Linked DNA regions of Sus scrofa. Each later gene encodes a partner of the first gene's protein in a complex. Links are inferred from orthologs where the notes say so. Each region holds a gene or a part of one and is shown on either strand. Other genes may lie near its edges.

The links. The genes of interacting proteins can lie anywhere in the genome.
Region 2: the proteins of NEDD4 (region 1) and GJA1 are in contact, whole or in part, in an NMR structure (PDB 2N8T), measured with the Rattus norvegicus proteins. The link is inferred for Sus scrofa from reciprocal best matches to the Homo sapiens genes NEDD4 and GJA1. Residues at the interface, in NP_037118.1 of Rattus norvegicus: Asp416, Asp417, Tyr422, Val424, Asp425, His426, Ser428, Lys429, Thr430, Thr431, Thr432, Trp433; in NP_036699.1 of Rattus norvegicus: Pro277, Leu278, Ser279, Pro280, Met281, Ser282, Pro283, Pro284, Gly285, Tyr286.
Region 3: the proteins of NEDD4 (region 1) and GRB10 are in contact, whole or in part, in a crystal structure (PDB 3M7F), measured with the Mus musculus proteins. The link is inferred for Sus scrofa from reciprocal best matches to the Homo sapiens genes NEDD4 and GRB10. Residues at the interface, in NP_035020.2 of Mus musculus: Glu71, Leu72, Val79, Arg104, Ser112, Ile114, Leu115, Thr116, Ser117, Val118, Gln119, Glu134, Ile135, Leu136, Phe137, Arg138, Leu242, Pro243, His244, Pro245, Pro246; in NP_001357532.1 of Mus musculus: Ile514, Arg516, Gln518, His519, Phe521, His522, Gly523, Arg524, Asp548, Gln579, Phe581, Gly587, Asn588, Thr589, Lys590, Phe591, Ser592, Ile595, Gln596, Asp599, Phe600, Leu603, Asn604, Ile617, Arg618, Val619, Ala620.
Region 4: the proteins of NEDD4 (region 1) and ARRDC3 are in contact, whole or in part, in a crystal structure (PDB 4N7H), measured with the Homo sapiens proteins. The link is inferred for Sus scrofa from reciprocal best matches to the Homo sapiens genes NEDD4 and ARRDC3. Residues at the interface, in NP_001271267.1 of Homo sapiens: Glu847, Arg849, Ala851, Pro852, Phe857, Ile859, Asp860, His861, Lys864, Thr865, Thr866, Thr867, Trp868; in NP_065852.1 of Homo sapiens: Glu344, Ala345, Pro346, Pro347, Ser348, Tyr349, Val352.

The regions. Positions count from the first base shown.
Region 1 is NC_010443.5:116,066,707-116,070,206, reverse strand, and holds the end of NEDD4 (E3 ubiquitin-protein ligase NEDD4), read right to left. Parts: coding exon 3,466-3,500; intron 2,917-3,465; coding exon 2,814-2,916; 3' UTR 323-2,813; downstream 1-322. UniProt on the Homo sapiens protein: E3 ubiquitin-protein ligase which accepts ubiquitin from an E2 ubiquitin-conjugating enzyme in the form of a thioester and then directly transfers the ubiquitin to targeted substrates. Specifically ubiquitinates 'Lys-63' in target proteins.
Region 2 is NC_010443.5:40,999,330-41,003,475, forward strand, and holds the start of GJA1 (gap junction alpha-1 protein), read right to left. Parts: upstream 2,801-4,146; 5' UTR 2,636-2,800; intron 1-2,635. UniProt on the Homo sapiens protein: Gap junction protein that acts as a regulator of bladder capacity. A gap junction consists of a cluster of closely packed pairs of transmembrane channels, the connexons, through which materials of low MW diffuse from one cell to a neighboring cell.
Region 3 is NC_010451.4:136,739,746-136,743,685, forward strand, and holds the start of GRB10 (growth factor receptor-bound protein 10), read right to left. Parts: upstream 2,801-3,940; 5' UTR 2,733-2,800; intron 2,008-2,732; 5' UTR 1,864-2,007; intron 1-1,863.
Region 4 is NC_010444.4:98,441,911-98,445,954, reverse strand, and holds the start of ARRDC3 (arrestin domain-containing protein 3), read left to right. Parts: upstream 1-1,244; 5' UTR 1,245-1,523; coding exon 1,524-1,803; intron 1,804-4,044. UniProt on the Homo sapiens protein: Adapter protein that plays a role in regulating cell-surface expression of adrenergic receptors and probably also other G protein-coupled receptors.

The DNA of each region.
Region 1 (3,500 bases):
TTCCCATATGAGAAGATTTTTTAAAAACAATGTCAAGTGTCTTATAATCAAAACAAATTGTTTAACGATACTTATCTGGGATAATTTCAGCATTATAAATAAAACATGAAAACATACCCATTTAAGTTAGGATGAAATGCATCTGTAATACAATTTTATGCCAAAATTTGGTTGAATACAGAGAAAATAGAAGCTAAAATTATGTGCTTATAATTTCTAAAACAAATATGATGTCCTTGCTTTACAAGAATGACCCTATTTACTTGCCAGCCATAGAATGCATTTGGGATACTCTGCTGTCTGGGATGAGGGGCTGCGTTGCTTGATTATAGGTTCCTTCCAGACCATCAGTGCGTATCTGGGAGATGAAGAGGATGAGGGTCCATGGCTGGGGCCTGGGGGCTGGGGACCGGGGGAAGTGTCTGGTCTCATTAACACCCTGTTTTATCTGAGTCACAGAATCATCCAAGTGAATGAGTCAGATGAAAAGCAAGCTTTATACTTTCTCAAGCTCCGATTTCTGCTATATTTCACAGAAGTGATACTTAAACAATCATGTGGTAAAATCCTGTTTTAACAAAAATAGTTTTCACATTCAGTTCTACATAATAAGAACATTCCAAAATGCATTGGCCCGTATCAGTATTACTTTGCTCATGTGGAGAAAATGAATTTGTATGGTAAGGTCCATGTACAGATAAACACATGATTACATATATCTGCACGTATTCAATATCAGATGTTCCTACTTCCTTGCCTGATCGCAGTCATTTTATTTTTAAATGAAGAGACTTTTCTTTGGGAGTGTAGTTCATGTTCACACCTGATTTGACAAAATCTGATGGTCAGCACAAAGCACCTTTCAATTGTATGATACTTTGCAAAGCATCTCTCTGGAGTTTACAACAATCTTACATGACAATGACAGCAGCCATGATTATTTTCCTTTGACAGGTGAAGAACCAAGAGCCCAGAGACGTTGAGTACATGGCTTCAGTTTAAATATTTACTAAGTGATAAAGTTAGGGCTACATCTGGTGGTCTCCCCTAAAAGCTGGTTAGCACAGGTGAAGATAAGATACAGGGTGCACTGATCTGTGAATTACTCTCCCTAAGCTGAGCTGCTGATGCCATGTTTGGAAAGTGGTTTTGCTTCTGTCACATGTGCTCAAAGGTACTCATTGTGTTAGAACAAACTTGAACCAATAGCCAGATGCACTTTTTACAACTCTGAGTATATATGTGTGTGTGTGTGTGTCACACACATATATGTATATATATGTATTTAAGAAGATTCATAACATATATTTACAATTATTCCTAAATCACCAAGATACCATATTGAGAAATAGCTTTAACTTTTTGCAAGAGCATTTTCTATATAATCATTCCAATATAGGTATAAAACATATAAATACAGTCTTGGCACACTTTATCTTTGCAGGTGCATGGAACACTTTCCCTTTTGCCTTATCCTGCTCACCCTGACTTTTGATTGTTTGAAAATTCCTTTGCATATCTCCAAGCTTCTTGAGGGTGAAGATTCAGCTAGATATCTTTGAAGCTGCTAACTCTCACCCCAGGGCCTAGCACAGACCTAGGCATATAGCAGGCATTCAGTAAATATTTGCTGAATGCACAGGATTTTTATGTACTTCAGTTTGGCTAAAGTAGGAGTTTATCTGTAGCATTTTGCCTAAAGAATTTTGGATTTAGAGCAAAACATTTTCATAGTAAACAGTATTTTTAAAAAGCATAAGAAATATGGTAACAAATTTAATACAAATTATGCATTATAACTATTCTTTGGTTACTTTTAACAAATTATTTGGTTTTTTGACTAAAGTGAAATACTAAAAATACAAAAATGCAACTACAGAAATTAGCTTGCCTGTAAACATAATAAATCCTGTAAACATATATTTACTACATAATTGTGCAAGTGTAAAGAATGACTAGTAAAGGCAAGTATTGTACATTTGACTTAGTTCTTCAAGGCATATTTAGGAATACTGCTTTGTTGAGCTTTAGTTTGAAGAAGGAATTCTTTTTAACTAAACTAAAACAGGAAAGAGTGAATGACTCTACCAATGAGCCAGAAAGATATACAGGCAAGACGGAGGCATTAATACCTTTCACCCTTTGCAAATCCGAGTTTGCTTCACATGTCTCATGAACCACCTTGTTTAGTAAAACCACATATTAACAAAAGCCAAATACTTTTAAAATGAACAAGTAAACAGCTTTTTGCAAGTGAGTCATTTGACTAAAAATATAGGTAACACACTTTCCAAGATTTTTTCAAAAATCTGGGCAGTAAGGTGCAGTAGGCAGGTCTACAAAACAATAACTAGCTGCAGGCAGCACTGAATATACTGTAGCATATTCAGTATTAATGTTTTTTCCCCCAACTTTGGTTTTCCTTCTCAAAAAGCATCAAACTTTTCACACACGACACTTATCACAACTATTTTCACAGTTATAATTTCAGTAGTTTAAGAAAGAACTGCCTGGCAAATCTGTAAAAGAGGTAAATGTTAAGGACAAAACTCACAATTTCAGGCACACAGGACTTATATCCTAGAGTGTGAACTTACGATAGAACAAAACACCTGGGTCAGTGCGACACAGGATTTAAGTGAATGAAATAGTGGCAAAGTTGTCATACTATTTCTTCTAATGTTTTGATAGGATTTTCTCCAATATCTGGGAAAAATCAACAGCCAAGGGTTAGTAATTCCCTACAAAATATTAAGTCAAGATTTTGCTTATAAAAAAGTGGCAGTAAAACACCAGAGATTGTTACTTGGAATCTAATCAACACCATCAAAACCTTGAGTGTTCTCGATGGCCATCTGAAGTTTATCCCACAATTCTTCAAATGATTCATAGGGTGGCAAGTCCAAGCGATTAAAGCTGAAAGAAAAGAGAGGGGCTGGTTATGATGAACACTGACAAAGCAAGTTCTCAGGCAAACTTTTCATAGTGCCATGATATGTTCCAACACTAAATACTCAACAACTTCACGAGATGTTCCAACACTAAAAGACCTTTTCTCCCCAGGGAGAAGGAAGGTTTAAGATCAGACTCTGGGCATGGACTGTCTCCATGACCTCTTGGTGGTGACTTCTCAGCTCCACCTTGACCTCCAAATGAGGAAGTTCTAGCCTCTCTTGGGATGGCTCGTCATTCATGTGATGGAGACAACATATGGTCAAAAATTTAGATGGGCCTCTCCAAGGTTCAGCTACCTGGACTTCAAGCCCAGGTCTGCCTGGAAAAGAAACACTTGTTCCTGGGTTGGTGTCACTGTCTCCCTGTCCTCCTCCTCCTCTCCCCATCCCTTGTCTCTTCCACAGCTGCCACCAACACAGCACAGAGGGAACTAGACCCTCTGTACCTAGACTGTTAGAGGACCTTCTTTCTCTGAAGACTTGTTCTCTAGGGTGAGGAAACTGCTTTTACCATGTGTGGGCTCTTGGCAGCTTCTCAGGAGTGCC
Region 2 (4,146 bases), about 75 Mb from region 1:
AAAACAACTCTCAGTATCTGAAAACACACCCTTTCGGATGCTTGCTTGGAACTTTGTTTCCTGGGAAGGGCCAGCAATGTAGGAATTGTACTGTAAAGGGTGAGGAATTGAGTGTTTGGGGCAGCTGTGGTGATCAACTATAAAAGGTAGTAGAAAAATGGGAACATGTTTAAACAGTGAAGAGAGTAGAATTAAAGCATTATCAAAGCATTTTCCAAGCAAAGGACGGGTGACAACCACACCCTGACTTGGAGAACTACTAAGCACAACACAAACATCTTGCCACGACAAAATGTTTTTCTACCATTGCCATCGTTCTGGCAACTCGGCCTACCTAGAAGAATTACTCTTTCCCTGAAGTATTTTCTACCTAAGTGGCTTATTTCTATTTTAGGGACAGGGCTAATTTAATTAAATCTCTATTACTACAGGATTTTATTTTCAAGAATCCTTGTTCAAAAGTTAGGCTTTAGGAAAAATTTTCATAATCTACTCTTCAAATTGCCTCTTCATTTTAGACTAAATTCAAATGTGCCTAATTTTCAGAGGGTGAGATTAAGCATCTTCTTATTACTAACTTGGTTTGGAAGGCAGAAGAAATTAAACCCACCTCCAAATGCAACAATGTCTATTTTTCCAAGTTTATAGTGCTCCTCTTTGTACTCTGGGAGTACAGGCAACCTTAGGATAAGGATGAGGTTGCTCAAGGAGGGCTTTTGATAAACTTTATGGGAGATGCTCTGTAAACATCTGGAGGGCTAATCAGTAGGATACTGTGGTCGATCCGCTGCTAGGAACTCAAAAGTTGAATTTCCAAATTCTGTACTGATTTACTCCTGGACATGTCATTAGGTCTTTACTCATTTCATTACGTGGCTTCCTCTGCGCTCCCCTACCCGCTCCCCACCCCCGGATTCTTAGGAAATTTCGAGAACTTACTGAAGAGTTACAAGTGTCATTTAGACACATTAATTTCCAAGGTACTCAGGTTTCCTCGTCATGGCTTACACACTAGGATTCAACAGGTTTGGAAAAAAAGAAAAAGAAAAAAAGGGCACTGCGGATGGCGGTGAGAGAAAAGGGAAATTAGATTGACACATTTAATTCAATTAATCATTTGCTATTCTTTTACCATTCGGCATGATGTCCATCTCCTTCAAACCCACCTCCACCGCTCCCACCCCTTCCCTTCCAGTGGCGGAACTCAGACCTGCACTGGGTTTAACTTTTAAGCATTTGAGGGAAATATCCGCAAACCTTTCCAAAACCTGGAGGCCGGGGCAGCCCAGGAGCCGGGGCGAGCCAGGCGGATGCTAAAATGGCAGGAGGCACCCCGCGCCCGCCCGGCCCCAGGCCCCCGTCCTCCTTCCCCAAAGCTTTCATTTTTATGTGCTTTTGAGCACTCTCTGGTGCAAATACTTCAAACTGTAGGGTCACAGCAAGAATTTAAACTAATTACTTCAGTCCCTGGAATTAGAACAGACAAAATCCTTACCGGGCACGAAAATGCATGGCTGCATTTCAGGCTAAAAGAATGTGGGTTACTCACAAGAGCATGTAAGAAATTGAACCTTTAAAAATGACAAATCGTCTTTATCTTTGCCTCCTGGCAGCACCCTGGCGGCTCAAACTCAAAAAAGTTGCCCCAGAGCTCTTTAGTGTGTGGCAGGTTCGGACAAGCAGAAGGTGGTGGCAGTGTGTTTGTGTGTGTGTGTGTGTGCGCGCTCGCGCGCGTGTGTGTGTGTCGGGGTTGGGGGGGGGGCGGTAGCTCCCTCTAAGGCGCTGTCTTAAGAAATTTCGTTTCATATTCTCTCTAGGAGCCCCTGTCTTAGGAGACCGTTTTGAAAATGCACCCTGACATGCACTCTTTTCTAAACTTCTGTTCTCGCCCTAACTTAACGCTTTGTAAGTAACGAGCAGGCAGGCATTCAAGAGATTTCACCTCCTGAATTGCCAACGTGGTCGAGTCAAAGGTGGCTTCCCTGAGGGTCTCAAGATTTTTCCCTAGTGGCGGCTAACACAAAGTTAACTCTTTACTGTTGCTTTAAGAACCTCAGCATTACAACCCGTATTTTTACACCTTTTTGTTTACCGGGGGAAATTCTACGAAGAGACCACGTGGAAGTCAAGTAACCGCAAGGTCTTAACAAAGCACTTTGTTAAGAAGTCTGCTTTTCAAGGCTAGAGAACATCAATCAAGATTTCCATATGAAAAAGCACAAAGCGTAGAATTCTATAGCAAGCACTCTAGGCATCTTTGCACTTTGATTTTTTTCGTTGTAGCCAGTCAAACCCCCAACCTAGGCCCCCCAAACCACACCCCACCCCAAAAGTTACAAAGCGTCTAGACTATTACTAATTACCAAAAAAAGTGAAATTCTACTCTAAAATGAGGAACCAACCAAATATCCAGAAAGGTATGAATCTTATCTACCTGTTGCATTATTAAAAGATAACTTTTTAACAGTCAAAAAATAAATACCGTAAGTTCCATTTTAACTTTAAAACTAGACATTTCAAGTTCATCATTCCCTTTATATCATATCAAAGCTACATTTAACACTTTAAAAAACTTTAGCAAAGTTTTAATTGTAGAAAAAGAAAGAAATAGGTAAAGTCCTTTTTGAAAACTTACTCTTTCCCTTAAAAGAAGTGAAGTAGGCACGCCTCAGAGGATGAAGTAAAATGAAAAAGCAAGTTCAGGCACTCAGACCTGTCTATTTAAAGTTTAAAAGTCTGCTGCTGTTTGGTACTTTCCTCACTCCTTCCCCCTAATGAAAGAAAAGTGCTGATACCTCGTAAAAGCTTTTTTCTTACTTGGAGCACTGAGCTTTTAAAAGTTTCAAGCCACTGACTCAACAAGGAGGAGGGGCTAGGAGAAAGGGGTGGGGAAGAGGAAAGGCGGGCGGGAGAGTGGCGAGGAGGCCGGCAGCCGAGAGGGGTGGGGCGGGCGAAGAGGCAGAGGAGTAGCTAGGTCCAGATGAAGTCCAACTTTAAAACTGCTGACGAGAGACATGAAATGGCATTAGAGACCTGAATGCCATTACTTGTAGTTACTTCTTACAGTAACAATTACGGGTTTTAGTTAGTGCTTTTTTCACCCAAAGTCCAGGGATAATAAAAAGTAATGTATTTTATATTATTACTACCTTTTCTAAGATTTTATTTCCTGTAATATATGTATATATTACACTAAATTAAAGTGGTGGAAAAGTGTACAGCCAGGGCAAACTTCCTATTGGCCAAGGTGTGTGTAAAGGTGGGTGTGAGTGAGTTATTTGATGAGCTAATTCCTCCCCTCTTAGTTTAAAGGGACAATTAACAAAGGAAATGGAGATGGGATTGAGAAATTTGAAAAACGAACATTTTAGGATGGTATGCCCATCCCAAATCCACCTCTCAACTCCTTGACTGCTTTAAATTTCATTCTTTCCCACAGTTTTGCAAAAAATATATATATTTATATTCATAACTGTATTATAATACTTTTTGACTGTTAAATCTTCCTATCTGACCTCTACCAAATCTCTGGGGAACTGAAAATTTATAATATCCTAGCCCCATTCATGCCAAAAATGAACTCTCTTTTGTAGTGAAATGTCAGGATATTTTTTATGGAAAATTCAAATGTTAAGGCCCGAAACTCTCAGCTTTCCTTGAGACCATCTCTCTCCTTAAAACCCACTGGAGAGTTTTCTGCTGCTGACCACAGAGATCTGGGTATAGTTTTTATGTGCTTTTCCACCACTTCCAGGGCCCTCCCTCTTCAACAGTCTGCACTAGGGTTTATAACAGCCTGAGTCATGTGTCCTCAGTCTCAGAGTGGCCGGGTCCTTTGAGGTCTGTTCAGAGGCTACACTAGAGGGCTGTGGTAGGAGAGTTCCTCATAAACTGGCTTCAGTGATGCTCCTGGGGTTGGGCAGGGAACTCTCTTGGGCATTATTCTCTGGAAATAAAGCAAACTCATCCAGCGGGGATACTCCTTACTAATACAAATACTAGGAGGAAAAAAAAAAAACAAGTAGGATAGGAAGTATTTTCTGATAGATACCTTTGCCTAAATTTCATTTCATTGAAATGACTAATAAGGCACTTTTTGAAAGGTTGTAGTTTTAATACACAATTTTGCTCTTTCATTTGCTGGCT
Region 3 (3,940 bases), on another chromosome or scaffold:
CACCCACGGCCTATGGAGGTTCCCAGGCTAGGGGTCGCATCAGAACTGTAGCGGCTGGCCTACATCACAGCCACAGCTACCAGCAGGTCTGAGCCACCTACACAGCTCACAGCAACGCCGGATCCCTAACCCAAGTAGAGCAAGGCCAGGGATCGAGCCTGCGTCTTCATGGATGCTAGGCAGATTCTTCTCTACTGAGCCATGAAGGGAACTCCCCACCCTGGATTTTCCAAAGCTCTGAGATGAAGGCGAAGGCACAGTGACTTTACGCACGACTTCGGTTTCTAGACGATGTGAAGGCTCAGAGCAGCCACATCACCCAAATCCAAAGTTCTGGACCAACTTTTAGGGTCTTCATTTGCTCCTCAACGTCCACAGAGATGTTCACTGTAACTGGGCCAGGCTACCCCGGGTTCCCACCCTGGACAAGCAGCTGGCATGCACCTGCCCAGCACCGGGCTCCCGGTGCACAATGAAAGGCATTCTGCCCAGTCCAGCACTGCCTCAGGCAGTGCAGACCAAGGGCAGTATGGACAGATGACTTGAGGGGGATGCAGCTTTTATTTGAATTTATTTTATTTTAATTTTTCTTTTTAGGACCGCCCCTGCAGCACAGGGAAGTTCCCAGGCCAGAGGTCGAATCAGAGCTGCAGGTGCCGGCCTACACCACAGCCACACTGGATCCAAGCCGCCTCTCTGACTTAGGCCGCAGCCTGCAGCAACACTGAATCCTTAACCCACTGAGCGAGCGAGGCCAGGGATCGAACCCGCCTCCTCACGGACACTATGTCAGGTTCTTAACCTGCTGAGCCACAACGGGAACGCCTACTTTTTATTAAAACACAGTTGTAATTACATAAGCAAAACTACCGTATCAGACTCATGACTACATGAGTTTCCTCTCACATCAGTGTGTATGTAAGGACAAAAAGTGAGTGGACAAAAGAAAACACTGATAACAGCCTGGTGGCAGGCAGAAACCTGGCAGGTGGGGGCCGTGGGAATGGTAACAGGACCTCCTGGTTCCCCGGGTGGGTGACTGGAGGGGAAGCTGCGAGGCCATTTCTCTTTTAGAGGCCGATGTACTTGTACAGAGCATGAACCACACAGGACTGAAAAAAAACCAAAAACCTACAAAACCCGAAAGCTTGGGCTCTGCCATTTGCTGGCCACGTGACTCTGGGCATGCCAAGGAACCTCCTGAGCCTTGGTGTCCAGACCTGTAAAGTGGGGAACGGGGGCTGTAAGGGATCAAAAGCAGTTAGGCTTTGAACATGCCTCTCAAAGTGGGAAATGCTACAGAAGTATCCGTAGCTACACTTCCGAGTTACACCGCAGCTTGCTGGGTGCGTAACTCCCTGTGCCCTCAAATTCCCTCCCTGCGGTGGCCGTCTTCTCTCAAGGGTTCCCAGGAAAACTCGAATATTAGGCGCAGTCATCCTTCAGTTCTGATTTTGAACAGAAAAACCCACTCACCTAGAATCACGCCTGGAAACACTTTGCTTTCCGGGCTTTTCCCTAATAAAATACTACCCTAAAGGACACCTCCATTGCCATCAGTCAGAACTGCTTTTGCTGCAGAAACCTAGATTCTACCTAATTTTCCTCCTGGAAAGAAGGAGGGAAAGTCTAGGTCGGCTCGCGGAAAAATGGCCAGCTTAGTGCTGTAAACCGCAGTCAAAGCGTGCTGCTGGGCTGACATGTGTTCTTAGTAAAACTGAGCGAAACGTTCAAGAAAGCACCATTTCTGAAACTCGGGGGCTCCAAACGGCGGAATCAGCTTTTTCAGAAACAAAGTGCTCCTCGCGGGGCCTCGTCAACAGCAACAAAGAGAAAGTTGTGCAATCACGCGTGTTTACTCACAAGCACTAGTTGTTTGGGCTTTTTCTTCGCATCTCCTGCATGAAGCTGGGTACAGTGTCTGCAAGAAAGCCTGCTCTCCAACGCGTCAGAAAGATCCAGGCCCCGGCGAAGTCACCTGTGGCTCTCCTACTTGACCCACCGTTTCTTCAAAGCAAACGACACAAAGTTGGCATTTCTTCCAATCCCCAAAAAAGACGAACACAATAAAAAGTGGAGACTACCCTCATTTCCATAACGCACATGCTCCTGGGCTGTCGCCAGGCAGGCGTTGGAGAGGCGATCGGCAGAGGCGGAGAGTTGCATCAGAAATTTCCTTCTGTTCAGCTCTTATCACATTTCCCCGGCGGGCAGGCGGCTAATCCGCGAGCCCTCCACTTGGGGCTGGGCCCCGGCGGCGGCGGCGGGTAACGGGGACACCAGCGGAACCCAAGGGAGAGATCCCGAGGCCCGGCCGCGCTCCGCCTCGGGGGTGTCCGGGCCCCAGTGGCCCGGCGCGGGCGCACGGGGGCTGCAAGGGCGCCCACCCCCCGGGCGGCCCGGGAGCGCGGCCTTGGCCTGACGGCCGGCGGGGCAGCCCCTGTCCCAGCCCCGGCCCGGCCCGCGAGCCGCCGGCGTCGGGCGGGATGGTCCCGCAGGCGCCGCCCGGGCTCCCCCGCTGCCCGGGGTCGCGATCGCGCCGCGCCGCGCCGGGTCCCCGCCCTTGCGCGCCGCAGCCCCCGACCCGAGGCGACGCCCTTCCGCCCGCCGCGCCCCCGCGGCGCCCGGCGTCCTCGGCCCGGGCGGCCAGCGCGCAGACAATGACGCCGGGACCGCCGCCCGCCCGCCGGCCACAAAGTAACTTGGCGCCGCGCTCGCGACCAACTCCGTACCTGCCGCGGCGCCGCTCCCGGCCGCCTCCGCCTGGCCGCCCGCCACCCTCGGCGCGGCCGGGGCGGCGCGGGTCCCGCGGGGCGAGGGCGGCGCGCAGGGCGGTCCCGGCTCCCGCGCGCCGCCGCCCGGGGGCTGCGCGCAAACTTTGGGCTCCGCGCGGGTCTCCGCGGCCTCCGAGCGCCCAGCCCGCCGCAGCGCGCCGCTCGCGTCCTTTCCTGCCTCCTCCCGGCCTCCCCACCCCCTCGATGGGCTTTAAATCCGCCCGGCCCCGCCCGCCGCCGCCGCCGCCTCCGCCTCCGCCTCCGCCTCCGCCTCCTCCCCCGGTGGCTTTTCCTGCTCCTCCTCCCGCCACCGCCGCCGCCGCCGCCGCCACCGCCACCGCAGCCCGGACCGCTCGGGGCTGCCAGCGCGGGCGGAGCTGAGGCCTGGGCGCAGGGCGGCGCGCGGGGGGCGCGGGGCCCCGACCACCCGGGCTCGGGCACCCGGGCAGGACGCATCGGACCCAGCCTGGAAGGCAATTTGGAAGCCGGTTCTTTGAAACTCAAGTATGAACTGTGCGGCCCAAATCCTCCCTCGCGGGCGCAGCGGGAGGACCAGACAGAGTTGCTGCGGCCCCCGGGCAACGGTTACCTGGGCTGGAGAGTCCAGTCGCCGCCAGCAGGGGCTGGAGCCTCGACTCCCATCAGCGTGTCAGTATCGGGCGGTGGAGGGGGGAGGCCTCAGGACTGGTCTCGGGGCCATCGGGCCTCAAAGTCCTCATCTTCGAAATGGGCTCCTAAGCCCGCCTCGGTGATGAAGTCCTGGGGTTAAAGGAGGTGTTCCTCGCAACCTACAGCGACTGGCCAGAAGGAACCCCGGAATTCATGGGAGCCATTGGCATTGCTATAACGATGACTGTCTCTGCTGAGTCAAAATGCGAATACAAATAGGGTAATAACAATAATTACGCCTTCCTCTGGGTTTTGATGTTCTAGACGCAGTAATAGCTGAGCTTTCTTGAGCATGTGTTTGGTGCCACACGTTCCTCAGTCCTCTTAATTAGGCCCCACACTGGCCCTAGGAGACACCCACTGTAGGGACTGGGGAATGAATCCCTCAGAGGTTAAGTAACTTGCGGGAGGCCGAGTCGCTGGTGAGTGCGGAGGGAGGATTCTGCTCGAACCCTTTAGGGCACTTTTTATAGCTCTGCCTTGTCCCACCTTTGGCG
Region 4 (4,044 bases), on another chromosome or scaffold:
TTTCTTCCTATATTTCTCTTCTATAAGCAATTTTGTTGAATGCAAAAAATCTATATAGGTTTATGCTGTTATGCCTTGAATCCCAGTGATTTTTATGAAAGCATTGTTATTTGCTATCAAAACGTTCACAATAAAGAGACAAATGTATCTGTCCTTAAGATAGATGTATTATGAGAATTACTGGGTTGAACAGTCCAAGGCTGAAAGTTAAAATTAAAACTTTACAGAATTAAGCCCTATTTATATAACAAATTCTCTCTTAAAGAACCATCTTCTGCGCCTCACTAACTTCTAACAAAAATTTTTCAATCCTGTTGTAAACATTACGTCAGCTAAAACGCAGTGATGCAGCCTTTTATAAGGTAGTACTTTTTAGGCCGAACTCTATTCTTAATCCTTTGGACACAGGAGTTGTAATCATGTCATACCCTGCAAATCTAGCTGTAGGTGGTATCTCAAAAAAGGACTTTTTTCTTTCTTCGAGGAAGTGGTCAAACCTTTTTTCCCCTGATGTCATCATGCAAACAACCTGGTTGCTTTTCATTGCTATCGAATTAAGAGAAGAGAAAGCAAAACATACTGAGTACATTTTTTTGCTTCTCTTCCTTGCTCCGTGTAGTATTCTCTTTTAGTCTGGATTTGGCCTCCACAGAGCTCATTTCTTCACTGCCTACAAAGCACTGGTTTAAATAAACAAACAAACAGTGCAGGCCAAGAATGCTCTTGTCCGTGAATATCATTGCTTCTCTAGTTTTTATTACATTTTCTTTTGAAATTCATTAGATTATGCTCAGCAGCCCTTGCCCAACCGGTTTCTTCCCTTCCCCCATCTCTCTACACACATCACTTTTGCTTCCTTCCCTCCGGGGAATGGGCAAACCCCTACAGCGCCGGTAACGCACTCTCCCGGCTTGGTCACTCATCAGTTTGTCTTTACTTGGCTTTGCAAACAGTTCCCCACCCAACCTTGTCCCCCAGTGCCCCCTCGGCCATTATCTTTCTGCCGGAGTATGCTCGATAAGGGACTCCAGATAGCACGTCGAGGGTTTACGGTAGCCTGCCTACCAATAGGAACCCACAATGAAGAGAAGTCAGGTTCGGCCTCCCGGCAGCCCCACTGCCGTCTTCCTTGGTTGTACACCTACTGTACCCGCGAGCGAGCGAGCCAGGGAGCGAGCCCGGCGCGGGAGGGGGCGCGCAGGGAGGGCGACAGCAGCCGCGGCGTGCGCATGCGCCCTGGGGTTGTTTTTCACAAAGCTGCTCTTAAAGTGAGCTGGCAGGTTCCAGCCGCCCGTCTTTGTAAGGAGACCACTGAGACTAGCAGGAGCGAGGAGCAGCAGCCTCTCTGCTGCCTTGACTTTTTAAGAAATCTCAATGAACTGTTTGTAAAGAATCACTGATCCTGCCTGTAAGCTTTTTGCACGGCAAAGACATCGATCAGTGTTAAGTGAAGATCACATTTTATATGTGTTCTTGACTTTTTTTTGTCTTACATTATATTTTTTATAGATTTTGTTACAAACATGGTGCTGGGAAAGGTAAAGAGTTTGACAATAAGCTTTGACTGTCTTAATGACAGCAATGTCCCTGTGTATTCCAGTGGGGATACAGTCTCAGGAAGGGTGAATTTAGAAGTTACTGGGGAAATCAGAGTAAAATCTCTTAAAATTCATGCAAGAGGACATGCGAAAGTACGCTGGACCGAATCGAGAAACGCCGGCTCCAATACTGCCTACACACAGAATTACACTGAAGAAGTAGAATATTTCAATCATAAAGACATCTTAATTGGACACGAAAGAGGTAAGTTTTTACATTATTCAGAAATTATTACACCTATTTTCTTTGGGAAAGTATCTGTTCAATTTCTCTGAATTAATGTAATGTTACTCCTAGCATAAAATATAGCAGTTTGATAAATGTTAGCAAAGTTAGCCAAGATTTGAATTCTCCTTGACTTTCATCGTGTGTTAAGCCATAATGCATGCAGGCATCTGCAAAGTGACTGCAAACTGCACTTATTCAACTACCTCTATACCCGGCTTGATCTGTGCCATACGCGCTTGCAGTCTATTTCCACCTTATAAATTCTGCTTAAATCCGAGGCAGTAATTTTACTGATACGTTTTCAAATGAATTGCTAAAAGCTGCAGTCCAATATTAGATTTTTTCCTTGTTCTGTGGAACCTTAGATCTTAAAAATTAAGCCTCAATGAAGAAATGAAATAACATTTTTAAGTGGGTTAATGGGTGTACTTCATTTTTAATATTGACACTCAAAGACTTTAGAGAATTGATTGTTGTTCTTTGATAAAGGGTTTCTGTGGCTTATTTTGACATATGGTATGAACACCCCACGTGTTTTTTCCCTATTCTTTCCAGTTCCTTTAGAAATTTACATCAAGCCTTCTCTATTTTAAAGGACAATACCAATCATTATGATATGTTTCAAATCGGTTTTAGAAGCCATTTAAAGTCAATTTTTTTTTTTCTGAGCATCATGCCTAACTTTGGAACTGCATTCAATGAAACCTAAGCCAGTCAAAAGGAATTGAAAAGTATTCGGCTCATTTGGATTTGATTTTTGGTTATAAAAGGGAGATAAAGGGTTGTCAAAGGGAGAAGGGGTCCTGAGATTTCCAATCTATTGTTTAAATGGTCACATTGTGGAAATATAGGAGACTCTAAGCTTGTTTTTCTAAGTTTCCACCCTTTGTTAGAAGCGGTTCAATCCTGTTTCGGACCAGTTCTAGGGGGTGGTGAGGAGGGGCGCTTGTTCTGCTCTCAGCAGATTGGTTACACGCGTCAGGTGGTGGGGATGACTTAATTCCTAGCCCAAGAAGAATATAATGTTAAAACTGGTTATGTAATTTTGTGCTTCTCCTTTTTAATGCAGTATTTAGTTCTAATGTTGGCCATTTCTCGAAGAGTAGAGCACATTTTTACCTCTTTTTTTATACTAAAAAATACCCATCCATGAGGAAGTGCTAATTGAACTAAGGCAAGTGCAGAAATGTAGGGGTGCTTTGAGTTACAGCATCTTAATGCATTATTTTAACAAATTTTAAGATGAAATCTGTTTTGTTGGGTTTTAACTTGCACATAGGTCATTTGCATCCTGAAATAATTTCTAGTTAATATCTCCAACCATTGACACCGCTTAGAAATGCAGCTGCTTAATGACAGTCCTGGTGTTTGTTGAACAGCACACACACGAGTTTGTATTTGAACCTTCCTGGACTGGCAGCTTTTTATAATACATGGGTGAGAAAAAAACAAAGGTTTTTAAGGAGTTGAGGTTTGCGGTGAGGCAAAAGTAGAATAACGATTTATGGGGACAAACACAATTTCATTAGTTGCGCTATGATTTCATAGTAAAGAAAAACTGTGTGTCCTGAACTCCACGGAGATGCCTCTCAACCCTTGCAAAGCATGGACGAGCCTTTAGCCTGGAATAGTTTCAATGACTTAAAACTGGGACCTCTCAAACTAGCCTGGAAATTGAGACCCCGCCCCGGGCGGCCAGCGATAGGCGGAGCCGGGTTTGTTAGCCTGTTGCTAAGGCGATGCCAGGCTCTGATTGGATTGGGTGCAGGCGGGTGGGGAGAGTAGGCTCGCCGGCTGGGGCGAGGCTTGGAACCGGCGTGCGCCGGTAAAGGTCCCTCCTGAGCAGCCACCCCCGCCCGTTCTCGCGTCTGCGTTGCGGGCTCCTGGAAGCAACCGTAGTTCCTGTCACATATTGTTCTGTTTGCCTCTCACTTGAGCCTGTGCAGCCCCCTCCCCCATGGAATAGCTTAAGGTTTTGAAGAGTAGAGGAGAGATGCTTTTGCTGGCCTGATAGTTGCCCAAGGGTCCTGGGTGCAACTTTTTAGCTCAAGATCTATATACAGGGAAGTTGGGCCAGCATGGTCAACAGGATCTTGTTTTCCAGTTTTTCGGGTGGAAGTTGTCAGGCGGCTTCCGTGAAGGCTTGCCTTCCTCCTAGCTGAAACAAAGCGACTTTCCCTATCTAGGCACTCATCAGACTGGCTACCTTGATTTGAC